7 linked regions of the Coturnix japonica genome follow. The protein of the gene in region 1 interacts with the protein of each later gene in a pairwise test. Links are inferred from orthologs where the notes say so. Each region holds a gene or a part of one and is shown in the gene's direction. Other genes may lie near its edges.

The links.
Region 2: the proteins of NCK2 (region 1) and PIK3AP1 interact in binary tests that used the Homo sapiens proteins (3 or more experiments, as listed by UniProt). The two-hybrid records come from large-scale screens. The link is inferred for Coturnix japonica from reciprocal best matches to the Homo sapiens genes NCK2 and PIK3AP1.
Region 3: the proteins of NCK2 (region 1) and NCKIPSD interact in binary tests that used the Homo sapiens proteins (3 or more experiments, as listed by UniProt). The two-hybrid records come from large-scale screens. The link is inferred for Coturnix japonica from reciprocal best matches to the Homo sapiens genes NCK2 and NCKIPSD.
Region 4: the proteins of NCK2 (region 1) and PAK1 interact in binary tests that used the Homo sapiens proteins (3 or more experiments, as listed by UniProt). The link is inferred for Coturnix japonica from reciprocal best matches to the Homo sapiens genes NCK2 and PAK1.
Region 5: the proteins of NCK2 (region 1) and MEOX2 interact in binary tests that used the Homo sapiens proteins (3 or more experiments, as listed by UniProt). The two-hybrid records come from large-scale screens. The link is inferred for Coturnix japonica from reciprocal best matches to the Homo sapiens genes NCK2 and MEOX2.
Region 6: the proteins of NCK2 (region 1) and ABI3 interact in binary tests that used the Homo sapiens proteins (3 or more experiments, as listed by UniProt). The two-hybrid records come from large-scale screens. The link is inferred for Coturnix japonica from reciprocal best matches to the Homo sapiens genes NCK2 and ABI3.
Region 7: the proteins of NCK2 (region 1) and CPSF6 interact in binary tests that used the Homo sapiens proteins (3 or more experiments, as listed by UniProt). The two-hybrid records come from large-scale screens. The link is inferred for Coturnix japonica from reciprocal best matches to the Homo sapiens genes NCK2 and CPSF6.

What each region holds. Positions count from the first base shown.
Region 1 is NC_029516.1:122,011,203-122,015,190, forward strand, and holds the start of NCK2 (cytoplasmic protein NCK2), read left to right. Parts: upstream 1-1,188; 5' UTR 1,189-1,272; intron 1,273-1,985; exon of another isoform or gene 1,986-2,263; intron 2,264-3,988. UniProt on the Homo sapiens protein: Adapter protein which associates with tyrosine-phosphorylated growth factor receptors or their cellular substrates. Maintains low levels of EIF2S1 phosphorylation by promoting its dephosphorylation by PP1.
Region 2 is NC_029521.1:14,289,526-14,293,592, reverse strand, and holds the start of PIK3AP1 (phosphoinositide 3-kinase adapter protein 1), read left to right. Parts: upstream 1-1,267; 5' UTR 1,268-1,738; coding exon 1,739-1,751; intron 1,752-4,067. UniProt on the Homo sapiens protein: Signaling adapter that contributes to B-cell development by linking B-cell receptor (BCR) signaling to the phosphoinositide 3-kinase (PI3K)-Akt signaling pathway.
Region 3 is NC_029527.1:6,669,894-6,673,393, forward strand, and holds part of NCKIPSD (NCK-interacting protein with SH3 domain), read left to right. Parts: intron 1-532; coding exon 533-620; intron 621-2,625; coding exon 2,626-3,254; intron 3,255-3,500. UniProt on the Homo sapiens protein: Has an important role in stress fiber formation induced by active diaphanous protein homolog 1 (DRF1). Induces microspike formation, in vivo. In vitro, stimulates N-WASP-induced ARP2/3 complex activation in the absence of CDC42.
Region 4 is NC_029516.1:172,810,024-172,814,253, forward strand, and holds the start of PAK1 (serine/threonine-protein kinase PAK 1), read left to right. Parts: upstream 1-1,430; 5' UTR 1,431-1,484; intron 1,485-4,230. UniProt on the Homo sapiens protein: Protein kinase involved in intracellular signaling pathways downstream of integrins and receptor-type kinases that plays an important role in cytoskeleton dynamics, in cell adhesion, migration, proliferation, apoptosis, mitosis, and in vesicle-mediated transport processes.
Region 5 is NC_029517.1:25,764,175-25,768,277, reverse strand, and holds the start of MEOX2 (homeobox protein MOX-2), read left to right. Parts: upstream 1-1,303; 5' UTR 1,304-1,700; coding exon 1,701-2,211; intron 2,212-4,103. UniProt on the Homo sapiens protein: Mesodermal transcription factor that plays a key role in somitogenesis and somitogenesis and limb muscle differentiation. Required during limb development for normal appendicular muscle formation and for the normal regulation of myogenic genes.
Region 6 is NC_029542.1:3,004,010-3,007,955, reverse strand, and holds the start of ABI3 (ABI gene family member 3), read left to right. Parts: upstream 1-1,146; 5' UTR 1,147-1,295; coding exon 1,296-1,406; intron 1,407-2,317; coding exon 2,318-2,485; intron 2,486-2,899; coding exon 2,900-3,076; intron 3,077-3,652; coding exon 3,653-3,735; intron 3,736-3,876; coding exon 3,877-3,946. UniProt on the Homo sapiens protein: May inhibit tumor metastasis. In vitro, reduces cell motility.
Region 7 is NC_029516.1:32,114,225-32,117,724, forward strand, and holds part of CPSF6 (cleavage and polyadenylation specificity factor subunit 6), read left to right. Parts: intron 1-94; coding exon 95-240; intron 241-756; coding exon 757-930; intron 931-1,296; coding exon 1,297-1,801; intron 1,802-3,034; coding exon 3,035-3,127; intron 3,128-3,500. UniProt on the Homo sapiens protein: Component of the cleavage factor Im (CFIm) complex that functions as an activator of the pre-mRNA 3'-end cleavage and polyadenylation processing required for the maturation of pre-mRNA into functional mRNAs.

The sequences.
Region 1 (3,988 bases):
GGAGATTAAAACTCCTCCAAATCAAAGTCAAATGTGAGCACGAAAGGAGCTGAAAAGAAAGGGGCTTTCCGTTCCTCCCTGAGGTACACACTTAGTCTTTCGTGGAAGAAACAAGAGGCCACATTTTCCTTTCAGTTTTATCTAGCAGGCATGTGAAAGGCAACTGAGGCTTCCGAAACCATCAATTAAATGCTGAAAGAACAGGTAGAAGTTTGCAAGGAGAAGAGGGAATTATTCACAGACTTCTAAACTATTTCAAACCAAAACACAGCAAAATCTCAGGATATGTATTTTTGTAACTGGTTGAAAGTTGGTACGAAGTTCCTCTCCATTAAGTTCCATGTTAGTTGGGGAAACAAGACAGAATTTTGTTGATACTGCTAAGTTTGCTTTGGGTTTGTGCATTTAATAATGAATAATGAGCTAAAGCCTAAACCAGCACTGGTAGAGCTCAAATCTCTTCATTAAGAGAGGTTTGTGTTGAAAAGTCAATTGTTTTACAGTGTCTCAAAGTGACTTCCTCTTGCAGCACTGATTTTTCCTTTTTGAACTCCCTGATTGCCTCCACAAGGACAAACCCTTCCAGTTCCCAATCTGCCAGTGGCACAAAGACACATAGTGGGTTAGCACAAGTATTCTGCCCTTGTGGGGCCTCATCTGTAGTATCATGTCCAGGTCTGGGGCCCTCAGCACAGGAGGGATGTGGAGCTGTTGGAATGGGCCCAGAGGAGGGGCATGAATGTTGTCAGAGGGCTGGAGCACCTCTCTTACAAAGAAAGGTTGAGGGAGCTGGGCTTGTTCAGTGTGGACCAGGCTCCAGGGAGATTTCATTGCAGCCTTTCAGTATTTGAAGGGAGCTTACCAACAGGAGGCAGATCAACTTTTTGCAGTTTAACAGTGACTAGGCAAGTGGGAATGGTTTTAAGCTAGAAGAGGGGAGATTTAGGTTAGATGCTAGAAGGAAATTCTTTACACAGGGGATGGCGAGGTGCTGGCATTGCCACTCAGAATAGCTGTGGTGCCTCATCCCTGGAGATGCTCAAGGCCAGGTTGGATGGGGTGCTGGGCAGCTTGAGCTGGTGGGGGGCAGCCCTGCCCATGGCACTGGGTGGGGTTGGGTGGTCTGTGAGCTCCCTTCTGACCCAAGTTATTCTATTCTTCTGTGACACAGGGCTGCGGCTGGAACTGGGTCCCACAGCACTACTTGATGAGGCCGCAGGTTGAGTCAGTCCTTCATCCCACCATTGATTTTACCCTCAACATCAGCTTTTGGTAAGTCATCTTGAAGACCTTGTGGGAAATACTGGCTTTCAGCACTCATGCCTGGCAAAGTTGTGGAAGCTTCTCCCTGGAAGCATTCTAGGCCAGGCTGGATGGGACTTTGAGCAACCTGGTCTACTGGGAGGTGTCCCTGCCTACAGAAGGGGGTTGGGACTAGATGATCTTAAAGGCCCCTCCAACCCAAACTATTCTGTGATTCTGTGCATGGAGTGGCACAGCAGTTTTCCAGAAGGGCACAATCTTGTGGCAGAAGCTTTCTGCTATGGGCAGAAAGCCAACAGCTCTGTAACTTCAACACAAAGGCTGCCGAGGGAGGGGGGTGCTGAGATGCACCTATGGCTCACACCTGCCCAAGGCACGCAGCAAGGGACTGAAGGGGACAGTTTCCACGCCGGATGCCTTCTCCACACGGACAGCAGGTAACAGCCCCAGCACTAGCACCACAAGCGGGTTCCCCCCGTTTCTTTGAGCACTTTCCCCGGAGATCTGGGAGGCACCCCCAGCCCCCAACCGGGCCGGGCCTTCCTGCTGCTGGAGGTGGGGGAAGGAAGGGCGGGGGCGGGCGGAGGAAGCGCCGGCACTCCCGGAGCGCGAGGGGGAGCCCGGGGAGCTCCTCCCGCGCGATCCCGGCAGCGGCAGCGGCAGGAAGGGCAGGGCGGGGGCGGGGGCTGTGCGAGGTGGGGGCCGGGCGGTCGATCGGGCGGAGGAGGGGCCGGGGCCGCCGCCGGCTGAGGGAGGCGAGGAGCGGAGCCGCCGAGGGCCGGGGCCTTGGACGCGTCCGGAGGAGGAAGAGGAAGGGGGGGAGCCGGCCCCTCTCGGAGCACGCAGCCCGCATCCGCTTGTGGAAGGGAAGAGGGAAGCGGAGGGGGGGGGAGCGAGCGAGCGGGTACCGCCGCCGAGGAGACAAAGAAGCGGAGCCCGCCCGGGCTGGGAGCCTCCCCGCGCCGCTCCGCCCCGCTCCCACCGGCCGGGCCGGGCCGAGGTGAGCGCACCCCGTGGGAGGGCGGGACGGGGCCGCCGCAAACTTGTGTCGGCCGTAGGGGACAGGAGGTGGGGGCAGGGCGGAGGGGGGTCACCTGGGCGGGGGCTCCCCGGGGAGGGGGCAGGTGGCGGCGGGGGGTGGTGAGGGAAGGGGCCCGGCGGGCTCCTGACAGCCGCCGCTTTGTGTCAGCGAGGGGAGAGCGGCACAAAGGAGAAGTTGGCCCGGGGAGGCGGAGGGGTCCCTCGCAGCCGGGGCACGGCCGGAAAGTTTTGCGGTGGGGGCGGTGTGCGGGGCAGTGCGGGCACGGGCTGACCCGGGGGCCGCGGGGAATATTCTGGTAAGCGGCTGCCGAGGGTTTTGTCGAGCAGTGGCCGCTTAAACGGCATCGAGCTTTAAACAACAAAAAAAAGGAAAGAAAAGGAAAGGGGAAAAAAAAAAAAAAAGTTGGGATGACACGTTGCGTGCCCAGGAAGCGCGTCTCGGGGGGTTGGGGTGGGAATTGGCTCTTCCTCTCCTCGCCGTGCCCTGTGTAGGAAGCTGCCCGAGCACGGGGAGCTGCCAGTCCTCTGTGGAGTTTGCCTCCTCGGTTCTGCTGGCTCGGGGTTTATTTTTACGGCTTTATGGCTCGTTGTGAGCATCAGAGTTATTCTGTGAATTGACTGAACGTTGCCGTGTTCTTTTGTTAGCTCAAAACTTGAGCGAACTCCGTTCCTTTTGTGTGCGGTGATGTGTGTGCTCCTGAGAAAGTGCTGTGGCAGCCGCACGTTCTGTGCGGGTTCCTCACATGGAACACGCCGTTGCCCTTTATAAAAACAAACCTCCATGGTTCAGCCTGTGCATGGCTAATGTCATCTGGAGCCGGGCATGGAGGCATTCAAAAGGGCAGAGCTCATGCAGGGCTTCTTTCTGAATGCGTTCCTGCCCCTGCTTGTCAGCATCAGTACCGCAGAGGAGGTGTTTGTGGTACTGTGTGTGTGTTCGTAGGACTAGAGCTGGAGCGAAATCACTTTGTGACTCACAGATACTGGTATTTTTCAGCTCTGGAGTTGAAGTTGGGTGTCCCACCCTGGTCAGCATCAGCAGCCATGTCCTCATATCTGACTTTCTCCTTGAAACTTAGCCAGGCAGTGTTGCTTTCGGGAGCAGTGCATAAATGCAGACATAGGAGGCACCTGTACTGCTAAGATCACAGTTGTAATTAGCTAGTATCTGTATGTAGGCCATGAAGCAGATCTGGTCTCATTATACCATCAGCTCCCCTCGCAGTTTTTCTGTCAGTGTATGGTTAGCTGCCCCTATGAGCCTTTTACTTCTGCAAGATAGTGTTTCCAATTGCTGTTACAGTTACCTCTTTTGCTGTGTTCCTCCAAAAACAGGAGCAGAGTTAGTCCGTGGTTGTCTGGACAGTCCCTTATGTTAGTCCTTATTGTTAAATATATAATCAGTTCAAAGCTCCGGCCTTTGCCTTGTTTCTGTGCTGAAAAGGGAACTCATTCCTTTTCTCTCCTTCCTCCTGTTTTCTCCCTAGTTTCTTTCCTAGCTGTGTGGTAGCGTTAAAGGTGTTTGCGCTCTTATGTGTCACCTCTCATGTACTGTGTGCTAAAGAAGAGGGACAAGGTCAGCAGCATCTGCTTTGTTTCCAGGCTTTGCTATTTATTTTTTTTTCAATTTTCTTTTTTTTTTTTTTTTCCTTCTTCTGTGTGTGTGTGTGTGGCTGCTGACATG
Region 2 (4,067 bases), on another chromosome or scaffold:
ACCCTGCTATGTGGTCTGACCTCTGTGGGCAATTGTGTGGGACAGATGTTAGAGCAAGGAAAAGCAAGTGACACGCCTTCCTCACTGTCAAGTGCTGCTTTAGTCAGTGCTGTATTGGAAATGTGGTGGCGGGCAAAAGAGGAATCCTAGGACTGGAAGCAAAAGGTCATTGGGTTATCAGCCATAGGGGAAATGGAGGGAATAACAGAAAACGTGATGAATTTTCCACCCTTGCTCTGGAAGTCCGTGGCAAAATGGTTTTTATACTGTAGGGTGGGTTAAGTAGTGCTGTTCCTGTGTGGAAGGTGCAGATCACGCTGATTTCTAATGAAGAACAGGCTCAGCAAGGCTCAGCTTTAGCTTGAATTGAAGTAATGAAATCTGTTTTCCTTTGCACAAGCTGCTGTGCATGGAGCTGCAGCCTTAAATGAAGACAGAGAGCCTGACTTGCAGAGAGACGACCTGGCTCTTCCTCAGTAGCACAATGAGGCCCTTCTTTTGCTTTTTCCCAACCCACAAATTCTTTTTCCATACACTAAAGTGTATCTTCTGGCACTTTTTGGTTCCTAGTGTGTCTAAAGCGTCCTGTTGTAATCTGGTTTTTCAGGAGGAGGTTGTTGTAAAGTGCTGAAATGGTGCACAGACAGTTACTTTGGGGAGGCACATTAATTTCATTTGACAGGCTAAAGGGATTTCCTGTGTTCTACATTGATGGAATCAAATGGCATCCCAGGTGACACTGATGTACATGGAGAAATCCCATGGATTCTCATTGAGCAAGAAGATGGCATTGTTAGCTGTTTATATGATCCTGCAAAGCTTTCAAGGGAGAAATGATGTAAAAGCTGGTTTCAAAGTGCATGTTTAAATCCTAATCTGACACCAGAGGGATGATTTTGAGATATATATATATATTACTTTGAGATTAAATGGATTTGCAAGAGAAATAACGGTAATCATGGAGCATATACATGTTTGTCCATCTATTTTTACTTCTATCTGTTTCTGAATATGTGAGTATTATTCCATGATATCCAAAAATTAGACCAGCTTCCATCTGGTGGACTTCTGTCCTTTATAAATGTTGGATTCAGTAGCTTCCCATTTCTCCAGCACCCAGATGGTCTTTATTCCATTGCACGTACTCAGAATTCATTTGGGCACTGGTGAATCTAAGGGCACCGAGGTATGTTCATATGTTCATCACTTGTCCTCTCTGGCTCTTACGTTTTCCACCTTTCCTGTTTGACAGGTGTGACTTTAAGCACTGTACCATCTCTTTGTTATTACCACTCCACGTTCACCTGCTCTCTTCCCGCTGTATCAGTCTCTTTGGTTTCCATCCCTCCTAATCCTCACTGAGCTGGAGTAGCTTTAGCTGGAAGGAGGAAGAGAGACACTGTCGAATTGTCTATTCGAGGGGATCCCGGAGAAGACATAAGCGGTCGTCCTAAACGCTTGCTTTGGAACGGTAGCTCCGCAGCATTCCGGCACCTGGGTTTTAAAAGCGCTGGAAAGTGAAAACGAGCGTTGTTAGAGCAGGAAGGAACGGCCGGGGCTCAGCCTGTGCCCTGTTAGCACGAGCAAAGACCTGCCGCCGTCGGGGCTGGAGCTGCGCTCGGAGCGGCCCCGGGGGCGGTGCTGCCCGGCGGGGGGCGGGCTGCGGAGCGGGGCTCCGGACGGGCCGAGGAAGTGACCGCGGGACACACGGCGCCGTGCGCTGCAACAGCCCCGGACCATGACGGCCTCCGGTAGGTGCTGCGGCAGCACGGTGGGGACCGGGGGGAAGCGGCGGGAGTCGGTCGGGAACGGCAGGGGAAGCGGCAGGTGCTGCTGCGCGGGGCGGCAGCGGAGCGCGGAGGTGCCCGTACCCGCAGGTAGGGCGGTGCTGCCGGCCGGCAGGAGGGGAAGAGGAAAGGAGAATGGCTCCGGGAGCGCTGGGGTCGCGCAGGCGGCGCTGCTCTCGCTCGGAGGCAGCTAACAGCAGGTGATGGGCACTGCAGTTTCTACCCCGCCTTGCTCCGCTTGGCTTGTAGTCGCTGGCAGAGCTGTGCTACTGAGTGTTCAGCCGAGTAACCTGGCCCTGCCGCGCACCGCCTCGGTGGTGTCCTGCGATGTTCTGTAGAGAAGGCAGCTCTTCCTAAATGTTGCTTTATTCCCCACCGTTTGCACGCTCTCTCTTTGGGGTACAAATCTGCTGCCTCTTGCCGCAGTGCCACCGGTCACAGGGTGTGCTGAGCTGCTGTCCGTCTTAGCTGACGTGCGCAGATAAAACTGCTTAAAGTACACAGGCAAACTGCAGAGGGAGATGGGGTTAACCCAAATTGTGTAAGTTCACTAGTGCCCATTCTGCAAGTTCCCCCTTTGCGGGGAAGTGTCTGCAGCCTCACTAAAAAAGGGAAAATGTGCCGTTCTCACAGAGTGAAGTAACGGCACCGTTTCACTGACGCGTATCTCCTTGTGATGTCAAATCGGCTACACGGGACCTCTGGAGACCTGTGGGGAAAACTGCTTTTGTCCTTAAAGAGAGATGGTTTCACAAAGACTCCTAAAAGTAGAATGACTGTAAATTCACTTATCGTAATGCAAATCTCATGTGAAGAACCTCCAGCAATAGGGAAAAAATGTGTCTAGTTTGGTTCTGTTTCCTCTTGCTTGTTTGCAGCACACTGAAGTGGAAGATTTCTATTCTGGTCAATGTGAGAGGTGTCAGTAGCCTGTTAATAATTATTGCATGTGATCACTGTTGCTTTGTCATGCATTCCAGCTAAGAGGAGAACGCATTTCCTCATATGTGACTTAAATACACACACTGTAGACACCAGAATATGAAAGTCACTTGTGTCAGTGTCCCACCAGCAGCTTCTAACGTCCCTTGGAAGATCGCTCATTTAAGAATTAGATTTTTAAGGCATATTGGGTTGAGTTTGATTGATATCATAAGGATGGTTTTTTTTCATAGGGAATGCATCCTCCTGTATTGAGGAATTGGACGCTGTTGTTTGCTTTTATCTTCTGTATGCAGACATGCCAGAGCAAATAGATGATAATGTAGATAACAGATTATGTATCACTTCTTCATTTTGTCAGAATTTGAGGCAGGCTTGACCTAGCAGATGAAAATTGACTTACTTGCCATGACATTCAGTCTTCTAAGATGGTGGAAAAGATTTGTCTGTAAGTTATTTTTACCTGTTGTTGGTCTGTGGACCCCTAGAAGGCATGGCCTGCATAGAATGGGGTATAAAAAAGCGGCACAGAAAAGCTATGTATTGGTAGAGATCTGGAATTTGCTTTACAAGGCAGACAAGTACAACATAAAACTACTTACGGTCCGTAAATCAAAAAGGTTAAACATTTTGGCTTGTGAAGTGAAGCAGTGGTTGATTGAACCTATCAGATTCAGAAGTGTGAAGTGTTAAGTGGGCAGATGTGATCTTACCCAGCTCTGATCTGCTGACTTCCTGCAGTGTGCTGTAGCTATTTCACTGCTAACCAGAATCTTCCAGTGTTGCCATGAACTGTTTATTCTAACTCTGTCTATTCCAACTATTCTAAACTCAGAGATTGTCACCTCCCTACTCCTGACCGTGGTCCGAAGAGGATTCATTCTCAAAGAGAGGCTGTGAAAAGCCATGATGCAGTCTAACCTTTAGGATGCTTTTAGTCTCCCGACACTGACTTCCTTTTATTCTGACTGATACAGTGTATCCCTTTTAATTTCACATGCATTTCAACAAGTAGGAAAAGCTTTTTATCTTGTTCTTTTTCGGTGTCGTTTAGTTTGTGGGACTTCAGCCTCACTTAGAGATCTTAAGTATTTCTGGTTTTCTAGATCATAATTTCATCAGTTTTATATAATTATATCATTATATACAGCTAAGCACCGAAGAGGGAGTTACAGCTGGAAATGAGTGCAAAGGTTGTATTTTATCATTGCAAACTGCAACAGAACTGTACTTGGATGATTTTCTATGTAATAAATAATCAATCATGCCCTGCAATATTGTTAATATTGCTGACGTTTGGTAAGCAAAAATTGTTTTCCTACTCTAAACTTAGGAATG
Region 3 (3,500 bases), on another chromosome or scaffold:
GTAGAATTGCACAGAGGGTCTATCCTATTTTTTCCCTCCTGCATTATCAGGAATAGCAATGAGAGTGTGGAAAAGGCATTTACACATCGCCAGTCCTTGGCTTTGTCTTTCTGCAAGGGTATTTGTGGCTGATGTAATGGATCTCTCCAGAAGAGTGCCTAAATACGCGCTCTGTTTGCAGCCTCTGTGGAGCTATTGAGAGTAATGTAAAGCCGTAGTGAGTGTGTGGGATTGTGCTGGGAAGAAAGGAGGAGTAAATGCTTGACAGGTCTACACGACATGTGCTGTGTGCTGCTGAACGCAGCAATTAAACAAGGGCTGCTCCTCCTGTCACGGGGAGGGGATGGAGCGGGTGTGAGCCCTGCTTTGTTCTTCTAGGAAACTGCCTATTAATAATCCATCCTCCTGAGAAAACTTCCCAGAGCGGTGAGAGAGATGTAAGGGCAGATTTACGCACGCAAGGAAGAAGGTTTCATAACAGAATGTCTTTATTGCCTGCCTCCTTTGATTGCTGTGAAATCTCTCCTTGCAGATCCCGCCGCAGCCCCGACGTGCTGCTCCCATCACCCCCCCACCTCCAGAGAAACGCAAGAACGCACAGATGGCCGCACCCCTGAAAAGTAAGGGCGACTTCTGGGGTGAGAAACCTTTGTGGTCCTGCTGCTGCAAGGGCCCTGGAAGCCTGGCACAGCCATCCAGGTATGGCAGGCGTCCTCCTGCCTGAGAATGCAGCACAAGGCTTGCTGCCTGCTGGCCTGGCTTGCTTGGCCAACATGGGAGCAGTGGGGCTGTGTCTCTCCTGCAGCACCGTGGAGCTTTTCCAGGCAGGCAAAGGGACTTTATCAGGGCTGTGCTAAGTGCACTGCTTCACCAGGGGGAGCTCACTGGCAGTGCTCCTGGGACAGGCCCAGGTCTGCTTTTGGCTCCCAGTCCATCATGCGCTTTATTTGTACAGTGGTCAGATGAGATTTCCACCGAATCAGCTGGTCTCTGTATGAAGCAGAAATAATGCCAAGGGCACAGCTGTGTGTGCTCTGCCTACAGGGCCTCTGAGCAGAGCTGGACCACAGGGCCAGTGCAGGAGCTTCCCCACCCTCAGCACAGAGGGACTGGAGGGGAAACAAGCAGCGATGCTCTGACTTACTGCCAACATGCCCACCTGCTCTTCTGTGCTTAGATGGATATATGTGGTTGATGACACATGGCCCATGTCAAACTCACCCATGTTCCCCTGTGGGAAGTAGGATGGATCTGTTGAGTTGTATATAGTTGATGGAAACCTGGGGCTGGCACCGGCTCCCTTAATGATACTGAGTCATTTTCACTGTAGTAGTGGGAATTTGCAAAGGTCAGTTCCCTTGAACTCATTATCTTGATTTAATGAAACAGGGTGAAGAGGAAGGAGAAAGAGGGATGCTGAGCCCCCATGGGAGGGAGGGGGCCTTTCTGCACAGCTCATGCTCCTCCTCCCAGTGGCCTCCAGAAACAAAGGGCAGCAGGAAATTGGGGTTGGCTGTAGGATGTATTGCTCAGTGGGAGACACATGGCAGGTGCTCTGCAGGGCTGTCCTGCCAGTCACTCACTTGGTGCTGGGTAAAGATGTGTAGCGCGAAGGTAAGGGGAGCTTCCTGGGGACAAGCAGTTATATCAAAAACAAACAAAAGACCTACCAACAAACCCGAACCAGACTCTGCGAGGCTGCAGGAACACTTGAACAGAGTGAAGCTGCCTTCCCTAAGGGCTGGGCTCCCTGTCACTTGTGCTCCACTAGAGCCACCGTTAGCTGTTCTCTCCAAGCCCTGGGTGAAGACATCCCAATGTCTGCCCAAGTAAATGTCCATTTTCACAGTCAGGGAAGGGCTCAGTTATGTTTCTGCCCCCAAAAGATACTGGGCGTAGTTTGGTACAAGTGTATATTAGCCTGGATGCTGGGAAAGAAGAATCTCAATGTCTCTTTGGTTGGCTGTAGTGGATTTTTTTTCCTAGGAAGGTCAGACAGAGTGAGGCATTGCTGGAGAAGCACGTAGAAGTAGAGCAGAAAATGCATTGGCTTGTGAGAGGAGCGTGTGCCAGTGGGGCTGTGGGGTTGTGAGCGAATGCTCAGGAGTGCTGAGAAGGAGGAACTACAGATGCATGTCAGCCAAATATTTCCCTGCTGTCGGTGCTGGCTGCGGTGTGCAGTCAGTGCCACAGGGAGAGGTCTGGGCAGGAGGGAGATGCTGACAGCTGCCTGTGCCAGCACACATCCTGCAGGCACCGGTATTCAAAGTGATGGCTCATATCCTGAGCGCAGGAAAAAGGCCCTTGCTATGCCATGGGGAGAAGGCTTCTTCTGTCCCTTAGTCCTGTTTCTTCTTCCCTCCCGTTCCGGGTGTGAAACACTAAGCCCTTTGAAGGATATTCATCTCAATAGAGCAGTTTTCCCCCTTCTAAAGAGGTGATTGTGTGGGAATGCTCCGGAGGGAACTCGGTACAATTTTGCTTTGAGATAAGTGAGGCAGGAAGAGGAGTTAAGCTGCTCTGGTGCATGCACAATGAGCCTTTTAATGGACTGCGCTGTAGCAATTTGTTTGTTCTTTTTCCCTTTGATGCTGTTGCTAAGGCATTTTAATTGTTCTCTTTCAGATGCCGTGGAAATTATCCCTGGGTCAGCTTCCAGTGCCTCCTCGGTGAGCACCACGTCCCTGGACACCCTGTACACCCCTTCCTCTGCTTCAGATGCAGCTCTGCCCACGGCTGCCTCCAGCCCTGCCACCACACCTCCACCCGTCCCCAGCCGCAGTGTGCACACCACCATCACACGCAACCTGGACACCGGCCCCGCAGCCCATTCCCGCTACACATCTTCCCCAAAGGATGGAGCCAGCAAATCCCCTCAGACCAAACGAGCTGCCCCAGCACCACCATCTGAAGTGGGGGCCCCGAGGTCCCATGCTGCAGATGGGGAGAAGACTCTGCAGGGCAAGAAAGCTGCAGCAGCGACCCCCACAAACCTGGAATCATTCAGCTCTCTCTGTCTCGAAGATAAGAAGGCTGCTGTGGTGGAGCCAGTACCTCCAGAACCCAGTGGGCTGGTGGCATCTGTCCCCAAGACCATAGGTGCCGAACTGATTGAGTTGGTCCGCAGAAACACCCACCTCAGCTATGAGCTGTCACGTGTGGCCATTGGGGTGGTCATCGGCCACATCCAGACCTTGGTCCCGGCAACCAGCGGCATCATGGAGCAGATCCTCATCTCCGTAGTGGAGAGTAAGGTAATACATGCAGAGCTTTGCTGACTGGCTGGTGCCAAGGGTTGGGGTAGTGCAGTGAGGACAATAGAAGTTCCTCCACTGGAGGAGTATTATGATAACCTTGTTCTAAACCTTGTACCAAACGATCACATTCTCCTCCTTCCTCCATTACAGGCACTCAAGGGGGGAAATGAAGGAATGCTTCCTGCAGCAGTTGTTAAAATAGCAAAGTGCATCTGGGTTGCCCTATGCCTTAGTTGGGGAGAT
Region 4 (4,230 bases), about 51 Mb from region 1:
AAGTGAAACGATTTCTGAACCAAGATAACCTGTGCATAGACAAAGTCTTTTTGCTTTACAATGCTTCTAATTAAAGTGCAGTATTCTGGTTGTTCCGTGCTGCTGTGATACAAATATAACAGCAGCCATAGCAGGGGCTGTTGGAGCAATCCATGGGCTGATGGTGGGCCAGGCCTTAGGCCAACCACTGCCAGTAACTTCCCATCACCATTCTCCATATCACTGTCATGGGGTTGGATAAATGTGTTTGGTCAGATATCTTTCAGAGAGGGCACCCTTAGGAGTACTTTGGACCAGTCTCTCACCTGGCTTGTTTTCAAACTTGTTTTCAAAACTATCAGGGTGCATCCTTGTTTCTTAAGAGGTTTTCTTATTCAGAGTACAGAAAGAGTCACTCTTCGGGACTCGGTGTGGGATGGAAAGGGAGCTGTGCTCAGTTCTAACTTCAGCTCTGTGTGCTTCCTTTGCAGCTATGGAATCTGAGCTCAGCTGTGCAGTTTTCCTCGCTGCAGTGATCACGCACGACTCCCACGTACCTGGGGGTTCCCATATCTAGGGGGAAGTAACTGAGCATGTGGTTCAGCAACAGGTTAAGCTGATTGAAATCAGCCCTGCTGCACTCCAACCTTCCCTGCCACTCCTTGTGTTCTCACTTCCTCTATTTGTGTATTTCAGTCGGATTCATTAGCTCCTGAACAAACTTATCAGGGGAACTGATAAACGCTGATACAGGAGGGAAGGGCAAGGCTGTGCAATGCTGTTGTATACGAGCGTGCTGTGACTCTGTAAGATCAGGTCTGATGTGGTGACCTGCATTATTTGCCTCCCATGTATCTACCTGTTCCACTTAGCGTTTGACATCTCTGTCTAGACAGCCTCACCGTTTCCTTTTCCTGAATGCCTGTGATCAAACCCCACCTCTTCTCTCCCAGCAGAGCACAAGCGCGGTGCTGAACACTCCTGCTAACTACGGGGACAAGTTTCCAGCGAGCTTTGCATCGTGGGGGAGGACAAACCCCATCTCTTGCAGTATAAGGTAACATCCCTGCGATACGCACATCCTGCTGTGCAGCACAGCAGCAGGGCAGAGCCAGTTTCCCTTCTTTCCTTTTTTGGATCTGCGAGCCACACGGTCCCTAATGGAGCCGGTTCTGAGATACCGAGAACAGAAACCAAGTCACTACAGCCGGCCATCCCCTCCCCTCGGCCTTATCACCATAATCGCGAACCATCCTTCAGTCCCGCACCAACCCCGTGCTCTATAAGCACCGGGCACCGAACAACCAGCCCATCCCAAAGCTCCAACACAACACACCGGCTCCAAACTTCTCCCCCAACCTTGGGCTGCCCACCTTGGTGGAGGGGGCGGACTCCTGGACCCCTCCGGAGCCAATGATAGCGGGGAGGGTGCGGGGAGGCGGCGCCGGGCGGCCGCGGGGAGCGGGCAGGGCGGAGAGCGGGCGGCACCTTGCAGCGGGCGGAAGGTGAGTGCTGCTGGGCCGGGGATTTCCTCCGCGATCTTTTCTTTTTTCTTTTTGTAACTGGAAAGTTTGTAAAGAGGATGAGCGGCTGGGTTCTTATTTTTCTTCTCTCTTTCTCTCTCTCTTTTTTTTTTTTCCCTTCCCCTTTCCATTCAATTTAAGAAAGAGGTTTGGGGGGGGGGGGGGGGAACGGCATTGAGATCGCCTCCCTCCTGCTTTCCCAGCTCATTCATTTAACAAAGGGTGTTGTCTGTAGCCTCGGGCTGTGCGATCGAAAGCCGCTTGGGGTCTCCGGACGGAGGTTGAGGTGGGGGAGGTCGGGGCTCAGCCCGCACCTTGTGCTGGCTGCGGCTGGAGGGGCTGGGGGGTGAACACAAAGAGTTGAGGAGCCGGCCCATTGCTGGGTAATGCAGCCCCGGGCTTTGTGTGTGGCTGTATCGCAGGGATGCGGACGTGGGAGCGTGTTTCTCCTTTATCCCCCCGTTCCATGTGTGCGTGTATGAGATCTGTTGTTATTCAAGATCTTAAAAGCGAAGCTGAACTTAAGATCGTGGCACGACTCGGATAGGAAGGGACCTCACTAGGTCTACGGTCGAGCCCCTCCGGTTCGGATCGGGGAGCGAACGGCAGCGAGGAGACCTCGCGAGTTGGGTGGCACCTCTGGGTGCTCCTGGGAGCCCGAAGGAAAGGGAGCACAGCAGGGCGGGGGGGAGCAACTCTCGTCCCTTCCACAGTGCTTGGAAACCCGCATCTCTCCCGTGCCTGCAATCCATGCTCTCTTGCTGCTTTTGTTATCCAGAGGGTTTAAAATCCACGATTAGTGGGAAGAGCTGGCTCCATCCGCGTGTGTGTCACGGTGCATCTGCTCCTGCTGGGCATTGCTTGGTTCTTAACTCAGACATTACCTCCAGCAGCAAGATTTATAAATAAATAGATGTCAAGACCTGGCTCTTTGCTTGTTACCAGCTGTAAAGCATGTACTTTAGGTGGTGATTAAGTACACTGTGTGCGTATGTAAGAACAACTGTAGAAGCTGTTTAGTTCTAGCCAAGCTTTTTAAAGTGAAAGCAGACATTGTAGCTGGTGAAATGGCTGTGCTGGGCACGGGAGGGAGAGTGTTTGTTCTCCTTGCTTGCAGTTACTCTTTGTACAGTGACTCACCGGTACCTTTCACTGAACCACCTCCCCATTCTCCTTACCTGGAGTTTTCCTGGTGTTGCCTGGTGCATCAGGGAACATCATCATATCTGCTGCTCTAAGAGCCTTCCTGTTGTGTGGGTGCTTTCGTCTTGCTCATGTATAAGGCTTGAAGAACTCCTCCGTGTGGAACAGCTCATGGTGTGTGTCCACTGGGTGGTTAGACATTACTTTTCCCTCTGTGTTTTCTGTGGATTAGGCAGAAAAAGGGCTATAAGAAAGAAGGGGAGAGACTCTTTAACAGTCTGTGTTGTGATCTCTCAAGGGGAAATGGTTCCAAACTAAAAGAGGGGAGATTTAGATTGGATATAAGGTTGCCCAGAGAGGTGGCGGTGCCCCATCCCTGCAGGCAGTCATGGTCAGGCTGGATGGGCTCTGAGCACCTGGTGGAGCTGTGGGTGCCCCCATGCATTGCAGGGGAGTTGGATCAGATGGCCCTTAGAGAGCCCTTCCAACTCAAATGATCCTATGGTTTTGTGATAAAATATATTGCTTGCCTATTGCTTTTCTGGCTGGTTTGCTTGCACTGGAAATGCAAACTTATTCTTTTGCCCCAGAGATCTGCTGATTTTTGTGGATCCTTTCCCAGTTGTGTGCAGAACTTTGACTGCAAGTGCATGAATTTCACCTGGTTTCTTAAGTGGTTTTGTTTAACTTAAGACACCAGTGAGCTTCAGTGTGGCTTCAGTCTGTTCTGTACCTGTCTCACTTCATAGGTGTGGATAGTTTCATTATTTTGTAACCATAGCTGTGATGGCCCAGTTCCATTACATTCTTCTGGGTGTATTGAAACACCTATAAAAATAGACTTTTCTGGTTAGCAAAACAGAAACGATGCTGAGCTCCACCCTTCGAGTGATCTGGGTTTACAGTCCATCCTGTCAACAGCTCATGATAACAGAAGTAAATAGACTTCGTAAAGGGTCTGAGAAACAACCATGCTTTATGAGGAAGTATAGGAAAACAAACTGAGACCAAGCATCTGTAAACATCAGCCGTCTGTCTTTAAGTCTTGGCCGATTGTTTTCCCTTTGATGCATACAAAAATCTCTCTTGTTGGCTTTTTACCTCTTTGGGAAGGGGAAATACTATGTGTCAGAAATGTATTGTGCCTTTTTCTGTGCTTGCCCAAGAGCTGTGCTTGTGCTTTCAACCTCTGTAAGGAACTGGGAAGAATGTAAATGTGTTTTGCTTGATGGCAAGGGGCTTGATGGCAATATGGACTTGCGCATCTCTCACCTGGGGGGAGGTGCTTTGAAGCCCCATTCCCAGTGGGAGCAGGGCTGGGGCTGGCAGCAGATGCTCAGTGATGCAGCACGTAAGGCACAGAGATCAATTCTTCCCTCCTGAGCAAAAGGCATGTGATGCTCTTTAGGAATAGGTAGCTTGAAACAGCCCAGCACTATTTATGCTAACCAGACTTTTATTCATTAGAATTGAAAAGGCTCTTACAGGACATATAATTTATCATCATTTGGGAGGTAGTGGAGTCACCGTCCCTGAAGGTGTTCAAGAAACGTGTAGATGTTGTACTGAGGGACGTGGTTTAGTG
Region 5 (4,103 bases), on another chromosome or scaffold:
TGTATATTTCCTTTATTCTGAAGAAATATCAAGTTTTGAACAGTGCACGGAGGCAGCGACTTCTGCTTTGGACGCCGCTCCCTTTTTAAAGACCTCATTATTACAGTTAAATCTAGAGACAATACTTAAAAAGCATTAGATGGCAGAAAAGGGGGGAAAGTCTTACCGTCGAAAGGCTGCTGCAGGTTCCAGCTCAGCCTGAAACTGCAAGGAAAAGCGGAGCAGCTGCTGAACAAAAGTTTTAGATTTTTTTTTTTTTTTTTTCCCCCAGAAAGTCTGCAAAACTAATTTCCCACAAAATAGGACTCAATTTCCGTTTAAGAAACCAGCTCTTGCAAATCTCATACAATTCCTGATTTTTTCCAATGGCAATTCGAATTCATTTTATCTTTCGCACATGGACCCAAGAGTTTAGACTGAAATGACAGAGCGCGGTGCTTTTTCTTTTTCCTTTTATTTTTTATTTATTTATTTATTTATTTCCTTTTCACTTCAAGTTTGGTTTGCGGGGAGGACGAGGAAGGTAGAGCGAAGAGAAAGGGAGAAGGAACTCAGCGTTTCGGCAGCGGGCATCTCTTTGGGCAGCGTTCTGTAAGCGCTTTATCTTAATATAAACCCGTATACAGCCTTCCTCGGCGCTACTGCTAATCCCACGACACGCGCAGCCCGGGCTGTCCCTCTCCAGGTTGTCCCACTATAAAGGCTGCAATGTAGCAAATGGAGAAGCAGAGAAGTTGGGTAAACTGCGCTTTTGGAGGGGCAAAAGGGGCGACTTGTCTGTGTTCGAAAACACGTGGCGGCTCGCTGAGCGCCGGGAGTTTAGTTGTAGACCCACAGGCACTGGTGGTCCCTCCTGTCCTTAAGGGCGAGGTGTGCGCGGAGGTGACTGCGGGGCTGCGCTAGGCAGAACAGCCTCGCACAGCCGGGCCGTGCCGTGCCCAGGTACGCTGGGAGCTCAGGTGGGGCTGCAGCCCCGCGCCCTCCAGGTGTATTTGATTTCTCCCACACTTCGCCCCTGTGCACATCCCGCTGGGTGTCCTTTATCGCGCTCCCTTCTGGGAGAGGTGCGGTGCGGGGATGGCCCCATGGGGCCCAGACGCCCCCCGCCTCGCCCCGCATCCGTCCGGAGGGGGGAGCGGACAGCCCCGGCGGAGCGGCGGACGCGCTCCTCGCGTCGAGGGGGAGGAGAAGCCGCTGCTCCCCTCCGGGCCGCCCCCGGCCACCCCCCCCCCCCCCCCCCCCCCCCCCGGGGCGCGCAGCGCTGCCGCCCGCTGCCGGAGCCGCTCGGCGCGGGGACGGCGCTGGCGTTTTGGAGGGAGTTTGCATGTGGTCAGTGCTGTGCCGCTAAGCCAGCCCCCAGCTCACATTACACACTACTGTATTTATAACCTCTCGGAGCCGTTTCCCCCTTCAAGCAGTTCTCTGGGACCACCTTCTATTGGCTTCAACCTCTCCCACTTCTTGACATCCGAGCGGCTCTGAGAAAGGCTCATCTAGGTCCGAGTGTTTATGCAGCGGAGACTGGCCGCTAGGGCTAAAGACCTGGATTATCTGAGCTCAGTCGCCTGCTGCAAAGTCGGTCGTTGCCGTTTTGGAAAAAAAAATCCCAGCCCCGATCTGTTTACAGTGAAAGTTGACAAAGGGTGGTGAAGTTGGATCCTTCCTAAACTCTCCTGCCTGGAACCTGAGACTTGCATGCCATGGATCACACACTCTTTGGCTGCCTGCGCAGCCCCCATGCCACCGCGCAGAGCTTGCACCCTTTCTCCCAGTCTTCTCTTGCCCTGCATGGAAGATCCGACCACATGTCCTACCCCGATCTGTCTTCTTCTTCTTCCTCTTGCATAATAACGGGATACCCCAATGAGGAGGGCATGTTTGCCAGCCAGCATCATAGGGGGCACCACCATCACCACCATCATCACCACCACCACCACCAGCAACAGCAGCACCAGGCTTTGCAGACGAACTGGCACATCCCTCAGATGTCGTCTCCTCCCGCCGCGGCCAGGCACAGCCTCTGCCTCCAGCCGGACTCAGGAGGACCCCCGGAGCTGGGCAGCAGCCCCCCCGTGCTGTGTTCGAACTCCTCCAGCCTGGGCACTACCACCCCTACGGGGGCAGCGTGTGCGCCGGGGGACTATGGCAGGCAGGCTCTGTCCCCTGTGGAAACGGAGAAGAGATCTGGGAAGAGGAAAAGCGACAGCTCAGGTAACGGCGGCTTTCCCTGCGGGGAGGGAACCCCGGGCGGAGGGTGTCGGGGAGCTGCGCTGCAGGGCCCCGGCTGTCTCGGCTCGGCCCTGCTCCGTTTGCAGCGGGGCTGCCACCGGGCTGCCCTCGGCCGCGTTCTCGGGATGTCCGTCATTAAGGGCAGCTTTATTAGGGCCGCGGGGGGGGGAGAAATAAAAAGGAAAAATCCAGCACGTGATAGCGCATGAAGTAGTGAAGGTGGCGGTGGCGGGAGGAAAGTTTCCATCCGACAGGGCGAGAGCTTTCGTAGTTTCGGAATGGATTTTAGCATCTGGCCCCTCGTCCCCCTCCCTCTTGCCGATCCGCCACCTCTGCTTCGAAGCTGGGGACGGGACACGCTCCTTGCCTCCGCCCTGACCGCGGGCTGCGGCATCGCGGCGCTGAAGAGGGAGATCGCAGCGTGGGGCTGCACGGGACGGTCCGAAGCTTTTGCGCTCCGTGCGTAGGATCTGGCCGTGCGTGCAGCTCGGTCCTCGGCGTGGAAGGGGAGAAAACTGGGGTCCGTAGGCCAAACGGGTGATTGAAAGCTTTAGAAAGTTGCTAGTACCGGGGGCGGAGGGAAGGAAGGAGCTGTCTGACTTTTCACAACACCACAACTCTTGCTTAAAGACGAGCAGAAAAACATATAGAGCCGCAGTTATTTTAGGAGGGTGATTCAGGAGCTCTGAGCGCGCAAAAGCCTTGACATAATCTCTGCTTAAGCCGGCTGAGCCTGGCATGGGCAGCTCTGACCGAAGGCGTGCGGTGCAGGCGATGTGAAGATAGCACACACAAACCAAAGGGCCGTCAGGGATGCAGCGAGGGGGCAGTGGGCACTTGGGAAGGAAAGGACTCGGTGCTCTGAGAGCTCCTGAGCGGGCGTAGCGAATTGTATATTATCAAGGAAGAGAAAGTGAAAGGCTTTTCCACAGAGCTGTGGAGTTCCCAATCGAAACCGTGACCTCTTGCAGCCAAAATGTTGTTGGCTCAGTAGAGTGGTGGACGATTGGAACCGTTTAGGAAAATGACCCCAAAGGATACCATTATTACATTAATAAATTAATTTTGTCATTCAAGATAGGATTAGTTGAGTTTTATCTCATGTAGCCGGGCTGAAAAGTCTTCCAGGAATGAAAGCTGTACTTTGTCAAACAGCGGTGGTGAATTCCATCATTGCATCTTCCTTACGCTTTATGAAATAAAAGGAATTGTCAGATTTTTGTGCGGCAGATGGGGAGTGCTACAATTTGAGTCCCTGTTACTACTGAAAAATGCCTGTCGGTGTAGGGATTTATTGTATTTGTCAGTGTACTTAAAGCTGAAGGGAAAAAAAGGAAATGGGTCCCTTTCACTGACAGGGAAGTATCCGTATTGCTTTCTGTTTATTTAATTTTGTGATGCATACAAAAAAACACACTGAGGAATGTCACAGATTGTATCCTGAAATGACTGCAGCCTTCCATTGGATTTAGTGGACACGGGTGGGAACATCAAGTTGCGATTGTGCTTACATTGATAGCACTGTGCTACACACCTCACTTTCTGAGACTTTCAGAAGACCAAAGTAGTTAACTGCTGATTGCCCCCTTCTCTCTCCGAGGAAGAAAGCGTTCTGTCCATTCACACAATGAGGAACTTCACAAACTGAAAATAGGCACCTTCTGACAGCAGCTGGGTAGCTCCAATGTCTTTGGTTTTTCTTCAGGAAAAGGCAGAATTTTGGACCAACCATTTAACCCCACCCCTTTATTAATCCTAAGCTCTGATGCTACTTAATGCCATCCTAATGTATGGCAGCAAGAACTGTTGTTAGTCGCTGCATTTCTATATTTGTAATCCATAATCGCCCCTCATTAGATTAAAAATCACTCCCT
Region 6 (3,946 bases), on another chromosome or scaffold:
CTGTATGGATGAGGGGCTGCCCCTCTCACTGCTGGAGATGTTCAGAAACCCATCGAGCTGCCGTCCTCTGTGTCTGCACTGTTCTGTTTGAAGACTCCTTTGGATCTCCCAGCCTGTAGCAAGGAGCAGATGTCTTTGGTCCCTAAGCTGATAATAGACTCAGAAGAATAAGCTGGTCAGGTGTTGGGCATTAGCCTCAAAGCTTGGGGTAATCAGTGGTGGGGCCATAGGGGAGGGTGAGGGAGGAAGGGCAAGGGTGGAGATGAGCTTTGTGGGGCACTCAGCAGCCCCTGAGCTCACACTGTGTGTTTTTGAGCCTATGTAGGCCTGGGGCCTGGCTGGGGGAGCAAAGGGAGCATCCCTTTCTCCTATGGGATGGAATGGGGGGGGCAGGAGGCAGCTGGGGTGGCTCTTGGCCATTAAGGGGGTGAGAAGCAGAGCTGGTTCATCATTTCCCTCATCCTCACCTTAATTGCTGTGGGCAATTATGGACATTTGGCTCTTGCTTTGCCCATGTGAAGCCCTAAAGCTGAGGACAGAACTCAGGAGGCCCCAAGGAAGCATAAGGAGGAGGAGGTAGAGGGGGATTCCCAGCATGAGGGACCCTCCCAGTGCTGGGAAGTGAGAGTTTCCTGCCCTTGGCTGTGGCCTCTTGCACTGTCCTGTGCGGATGGGAAAAACCATTAGCAAAGCACAAGGAGGGACGTGTTGTCCCAGCAAACAGAGCTAAGCAGAAACTGATGGCTGCACCCAGCCTGAGCTGGGTGAGGTGCAGGCACGGGGCTGTCTGGAGAAGATGAGCTGGCAATGGAAGCATCACTCTGGAGCTAGATCTCCTCCTGCCAGTCCCATAAAGGCAAGGGGAAGGGAATTGCCCTTGCTGGGTGCAACAGAGCCAGGCCTGGCCCCCTGCCCCCCAGGCTCCATCAGAGGATGGAGGTGCAAGCTCCAAATTACCAAATTTGGGCTGTCAGGAGCCAAACTGCAGCACTGACCTGGAAATGGTGCCCTACCCATGGCCATGCTGCCTTCAGCCTCATGAAGAAGCCATACTCCCTTGATGGGGCTGGTTGAATTAGAGGGGGTGAGTATGGATGTGTAGAGCAGTTGTAGGCGGCCTTGCAGCACTCCAACAGCTTTCAGGTTCTACCTGCAGCCTCCAAACCTCCACCAAGGGAAGCTGGGAGAGGTGACAACCCACGGAGCATCAGCAAAGCAATACGTCAGCATCACCGCGAGCTTCAAAACTCGGCGCCTTAAAGACTGGGGAGGAAGTGGGCTCCGGTCCCAGCGCTATGGCGGAGCCGCTGCAGCCCTGCGATGTCCCCGCAGCACGGCAGGGACTGCGTGATAACCACAACAACCTGCAGCGTGTGGCTGAGTATTGCGAGAGCAACTACCTGCAGGTGGGGTGTAGGGATGTGTGTGGGGCTGGGATGGGTTGGGGGGTCTGTGGTGGTGATGGGGAGGATGGTGTGGGGGTGAAGGCTTTGCTGTTCCCATTCATTTCCTGCCCAGCATTGAGAGCTTCTCTCGTGCCTCAGTTTCCCCTCTGCTCAGCCATCAGGGTTATGTGTGGGACATTGTGGGGGGGGTCTTCTGGGGTTTTTTGGTGCTGGAGGGGAGCAGGGATGGCAGCTCAGGGTCTGGGAGGTGCTGACAGTGCTCACTCCTTCCCAGCATAGGGTGGGCAATGGGCTCTGTGCTGTCCTACTCCCCCCTGTCCCTGTGACCTGCTGAGGGGATGGCAAAGGGTTGGTTTGGCCCCATTGGCTGGGAACAGTGCCCTGACCGGGGGTCTCTTGGGTGCTTTAAGGATCCCACCTTGGTAGCCTCATTCCCCCATGGCAGACCCAAGGGAGTGGTGATGGTTGTTCCCTCACCCCATCTGGGGCTGTGAATCTGCACTCTGTCCCATGGCCGGGCATTGCTGCTGCCTCAGTTAAGCATCATCCAGGGCTGGGTTGTTTTCTCATGCTGAAGCTTCTGGTCGGTTCACAGCCCCCCAGCTGCATCTCTGAAGGGGAAGCATGCAAAACAGCTCAGAGAACTGAGACTGCTTCCCCAGCTGCTGGCAGCGGGACTGGAACAGTCCCAACAGCACAGACCCTCCTGATCCCCTCTGTGCTTCTCCCACTGCACCCTGATGGTGCTGAGCATCGCTGAGTCCCACTGCCTGAGCTGGAGGAACTGTGATGCATTTGGAAAGCAGAAGGAAGCCCCTTTGCTCCCTTGTGACCCTGGTTTGGGTATGACGGCGGCGGCACTTTGTGCTCTCAGCCATCCCAGCTCATCACAGCTGTGTTTCACCCTCCAGGCAAGCGACAAGAGGAAGGCTCTGGAGGAGACGATGGCTTTCAGCACACAGTCCTTGGCCAGTGTGGCTTATCAGGTCAGCAGCCTGGCCACCACCTTCCTGCAGCTGCTGGACCTGCAGGCAGCCGAGCTGCAAAAGCTGGAGGCCAATGTCAGCTGTGTAGCCCAGGTGGGTCTGACCTCAGCCACTGCCATGGGTCTGTACTGCTGTGGGGTTTCAGCCCTGAGAAAGGAGCAGCTTACAGGGACTGGAGACCAACTTTTCTTGTGGTTTTAATGGCCTGTCAGCCCCTGCAGCACCTTGGTCACCCAAGAAGCTAAAGGACAAGACTACCGAGGGGTGGGAAACTGTTCTTAAGGGCTTGTCTTAGTCTGGGTGTTTGGGGACCATGGCAGCCTCTGGGGAAGCCCCCAAGGAGCTACCCTGCAGCAGTCACATAGGCTCAGATGCTGTTATCTCCCCTCGGTGGACACTGGCCTCGTCCCCTTGGAGAACTAGGGACAATGACTCAGAGCCCTGCAGCCACTCACTTTCTTCCTGATATTTGAGGGCTCCTTAGAGCCTTTCCTGCTGCCTCCACAGAGCGTTGACATGCACAAGGAGAAAGTATCTCGTCGGGAGATCGGCGCTTTGACCGTCAGTAAGAGGTTCCCATCCCACCAGAAGATCACATCCCCCCCCAACCCACCCTCCCTAGAGCCCTACTACAGGAAACCCCTCAACTTCAGCATCCTGGATGACATCGGTCACGGCATAAAGGTCAGCCTGGAGGGTGTCCCGTGGGTAGATGGGGGTTTAGATGGGCTTTATGTGATCTGGTGGGGGTACAAACCCCTCCTGGATGGAGAAAGGGGGTCTGTCTATGCTTCCTCCAGGACTTGTCCCAGTGGGGCTCATCTTGGTGCAGGAGGGGAATGGGACACTGACAATGCCATAAAGGCACACAGTCCCAGAGTTGCTTGGCTAAGGCTGAGTTGCATTACACCCACAGTGCTGTTCCAGCACTGAAACTGCCCCTGTAAGCTGCCCCCTCACCGGAAGGCGTCTGTGGGTTTTCAGCAGCATCAGAGCCACGTGCACAGTGTGAAACCGCTGTGGAGTCGAAGGGGAAGTGACAGTGCTGGGGCTGCAGTTCCCACGGTGGCAATGCCAGACAGCAGCACCAATATCTGCTTCTATCAGCACCAATATCTACTTCTATTAGCTGGGGCAGCCCCTCACCACCCCCCATCCTTTTGAGAAGGGTTCAGCAAAGGCCTTTGGGGCACTATAAGGGCATGGTAGGCATGGAGTGCAATGAACTTGTCATGTGTATGTGTTTTCTTCTGCCTGCAGGATCACAGCACTCAGCTGTCCAGGACAGGCACACTGTCTCGGAAAGGGATGAAGATAACCACACAGTCTGCAGGCACCATGGGGTGAGGCTTCTGGGATGGTGTAGAGTAGGGAATCTTTAGCTTGGGTGTCACTGAGCAGGGACAGAGCCATGGGGTGCACTGCCCAATGCAGCTGCCCTCTGTGTCCTGTCAGCATGGGCTCAGTGCCTGCTCTGTTGGCAGGAGGAGCACTCGTGTCCCTGAGCCCATCCAGCCCCCCGTGGTTCCCGAGGGAAAGCTCTCTGCAGCTTCA
Region 7 (3,500 bases), about 90 Mb from region 1:
TTTGCTCACTGTGTTAAGTGTTTATTCATGAGGCATCAGGATATCCAGGAAACAAAAAAACTGCAGTGTAACTGTTTTTTTTTCTTCCTTTCAGGTTTGCCCTTGTGGGTGTGGGATCGGAAGCATCCTCCAAAAAGTTGATGGATTTGTTGCCTAAAAGAGAACTGCATGGGCAGAATCCTGTTGTGACTCCTTGTAATAAACAATTTCTGAGTCAGTTTGAAATGCAGTCAAGGAAAAGTAAGTCTCTCTCTTGTGCCATCTTGGAAAGATTGGAAGTTTATTCCGGAAGTTGTCCTGCAGTTCTTCTCTCAGTATCTGATAATTTCTGCACAGTTAAAGATTTCTATATAAGTATTAAGTGAATGAAGTTGCAGCTTTGTTTTAAAAAAATTAAGTAGAAGATCCCCTTAAAAACTGAAAACAAAACAGTTAATTCAATGTGTTTTTATGTCTGTGGTTTTAATAGGAGAAATTGCTGGAAGTGCTTATTATGCAGCTTTGTAAGACTCTTCTTAAGATTGGAGAAGTAGAGGTGCAGCATTTGTAGGCAGATTAGACTAACTTAATGGACTGAGTTTCTACACTTCCATTCTTGTGGTGTGGGGATACTGAAATGCTGCTGAATCTTAGCAAAGTGTTTTTTCCTTTGTGGTACTGGGGATCAAGGTGATGCTTTAGTGCTACATAAAACTTTAGAAGAATTGAAAAGCTTTAAACTATTTTGATTTACATAATGACATTTTTCCACTGCAGCCACACAGTCTGGCCAGATGTCTGGGGAAGGTAAAGCTGGTCCTCCAGGAGGAAGCTCAAGAGCAGCATTTCCACCTAGTAATAGAGGGCGAGGCCGTTTCCCAGGTGCCATTCCAGGTGGAGACAGATTCCCTGGACCAGCAGGGCCAGGAGGGCCACCACCACCGTTCCCAGGTAAAATACTGAATGTGGAGGGTTTCAGTTTAATTTTTATTTTCTTTTATTAATGCAGTATGCTTATTTGGGAATTACAAAAATTAAGGTCAGTAAGCAGGCACATAGAATTACCAAAAACTTGAAGTGGTTGGTTCTGTTTTCAGGTTAATGTTCTCTTTCAGTATAGATAACCAGTTATAAATATATCTAAGATACTGGACCCAAAAGTGGAGCTCTGCATGTGTTGTGCAAGATGTGAATTGTTCAGTGAAGGCTTTTTGTCTGAGGAAAAAAAAAAAAAAAAAAGGACAAGATCTTAATTATTTTTGTGACTCTTTTATTTCTTCATGTTTATTAACTTTTTATTTATTTATTTTTTTGTAGCTGGACAAACTCCCCCACGTCCACCCTTAGGCCCTCCTGGTCCACCAGGCCCACCAGGCCCCCCACCTCCTGGTCAGGTCCTCCCACCTCCTTTAGCTGGACCTCCTAATCGTGGTGACCGCCCACCACCACCAGTTCTGTTTCCAGGACAGCCTTTTGGTCAGCCTCCTCTTGGGCCACTTCCTCCAGGCCCTCCACCTCCAGTTCCAGGCTATGGGCCGCCACCGGGTCCGCCACCACCTCAGCAGGGTCCACCTCCACCTCCGGGTCCATTTCCCCCTCGTCCACCCGGCCCTCTCGGGCCACCCCTGACTCTCGCTCCTCCTCCACATCTCCCCGGGCCACCTCCAGGTGCTCCACCTCCTGCACCACATGTGAACCCAGCTTTCTTCCCCCCACCTGCCAATAGTGGCATACCTACTTCAGACAGCCGTGGCCCACCTCCAACAGATCCATATGGCCGACCTCCACCATATGACAGAGGTGACTATGGGCCACCTGGAAGGTGAGTATTTTTGGTGTTATATGCCGTATGGCAGACTTTATTCCTTGTAGGAAACACAGGATTTTTTAAAAACTTTTTAATGCAAATGTTAGAAAAAGTAAACAAGGGGGAAAAAGCAAAACAAAACAGCAAAGCTGGAGGGGATCCCTGCAATCATGAGATTTGCCCGTTCGCTTCTTAGTGAATGAACTCATAAGTGTGTTTGTAGCAGTAAGAAAACCTTAAAATGCATTGCTAGTAATCTTGCTTTCCCTTTTCGGCTTTGAACTGTTTGTGTACATTGTTCACAGTATCATCATTCTGTGTGTTCTACATGCTAACTTATATCACTTCCTGCCAGTAGCTTCTGGTTGTGCTGCTGTCATAACTTGAAATTCTCACTTGTCCCTTTGCCATCTTGCTTTGCAAGCTGTCATTGTAAAATGCTCTGGTGTTCTCTTTGAATATGTGCATGTGTTGAGGATGGTGCCACACCAAGCTCATGTCATTTTCATCTTCTAGCAGTTCGGCTTGTTCCTTTTTTCTTAAGGGTTCAATTAAAAGTTAGCTTTTGTCTCAAAAGCTGAGTGGGAATTTATTGCAAGACTTTTGTTTTGCTTTCCTGTTAAGCTACTTGTAATTTTGTACAGTCTTTCTGTGTTTGTAGCAGTGGCCTTTTCTGTAGTTAATCCAGTCTGGGTCGGGGTTTTTGAGTCCCTCTGACTTGACTAGTGAAGCGTTTCACATCTTGTTTGAAACAGCTTTTGCATTTGTGCTTTCAAGCATCTGTCATGCCGCTGTTGTCTTCATTTTCAACATACTTTCACCATTCCTTAGAACTTTTGGGGTCTAATTTTAAGAGAGATACCTTCTACGCAGTTACGTGTGAATTTTTCATTTGTGATTTTACTGATATTGTTGAGAGAGTCTTCTCTTGCCTAAAGTGTTTCCTGCAAAGGCACTTTGATTCTTCCTTTTACATGTGAGCACAAAGTTGAAAAAAACCCCAACAATTGTACATACTGTGTTCCTATAGAAGTTGTAGAAATTCAAGCATTTGGCTTAATTGCCTGAGATATAATAAGGTGCTTTGTGTTTTTTGATGGACAAAATCTAAGTTGTCTGCAGTTTACAGAATGGCTGGGGAGGGAAGGAATGGGGATAGGACAGAATAACTTCTGTCCACTATTTTCAATAAAAATGTTAAGACTATCATCCATAACTATTTAAATTGTCATTAATTATATATCATAGGCGTTTCACTGGAAATAACATGTCCATAAGAGAAAAATTACATATTCCATTCTATGGGAGGCACACGAAAAATAATACTCAAAACTCAGGGAGGTATGAATTTTTAGACATTTCCTCTTATGCTAAACTGGCTATAGGATCTTGTTCCACTTCTTGCACTTAAGAGGATAGTATTGCTTGTTATTCTGCGTTTTCTTTCTACCAGAGGAACTAACACTGTTTTAGAAATATCAAGCAGTGGGTCAATTTGACAGTCTCAGCTTTTGTCTCTAATGCATTTCTTCAGATATTCTATATGATTCAGAGACTGGCTAATAAAACACTGCAAAACTTGTGGGTAATTTTTTGTATGAGTAAATTTTGTTACTTTAGAATCAATGTATAGGATAGCTAATAGTCAGAGTTAAAAAGTATAGTGAGTGCAAGTATTCATTTTAATTGCTTCCTCCTTACTGTGATTGGGAGA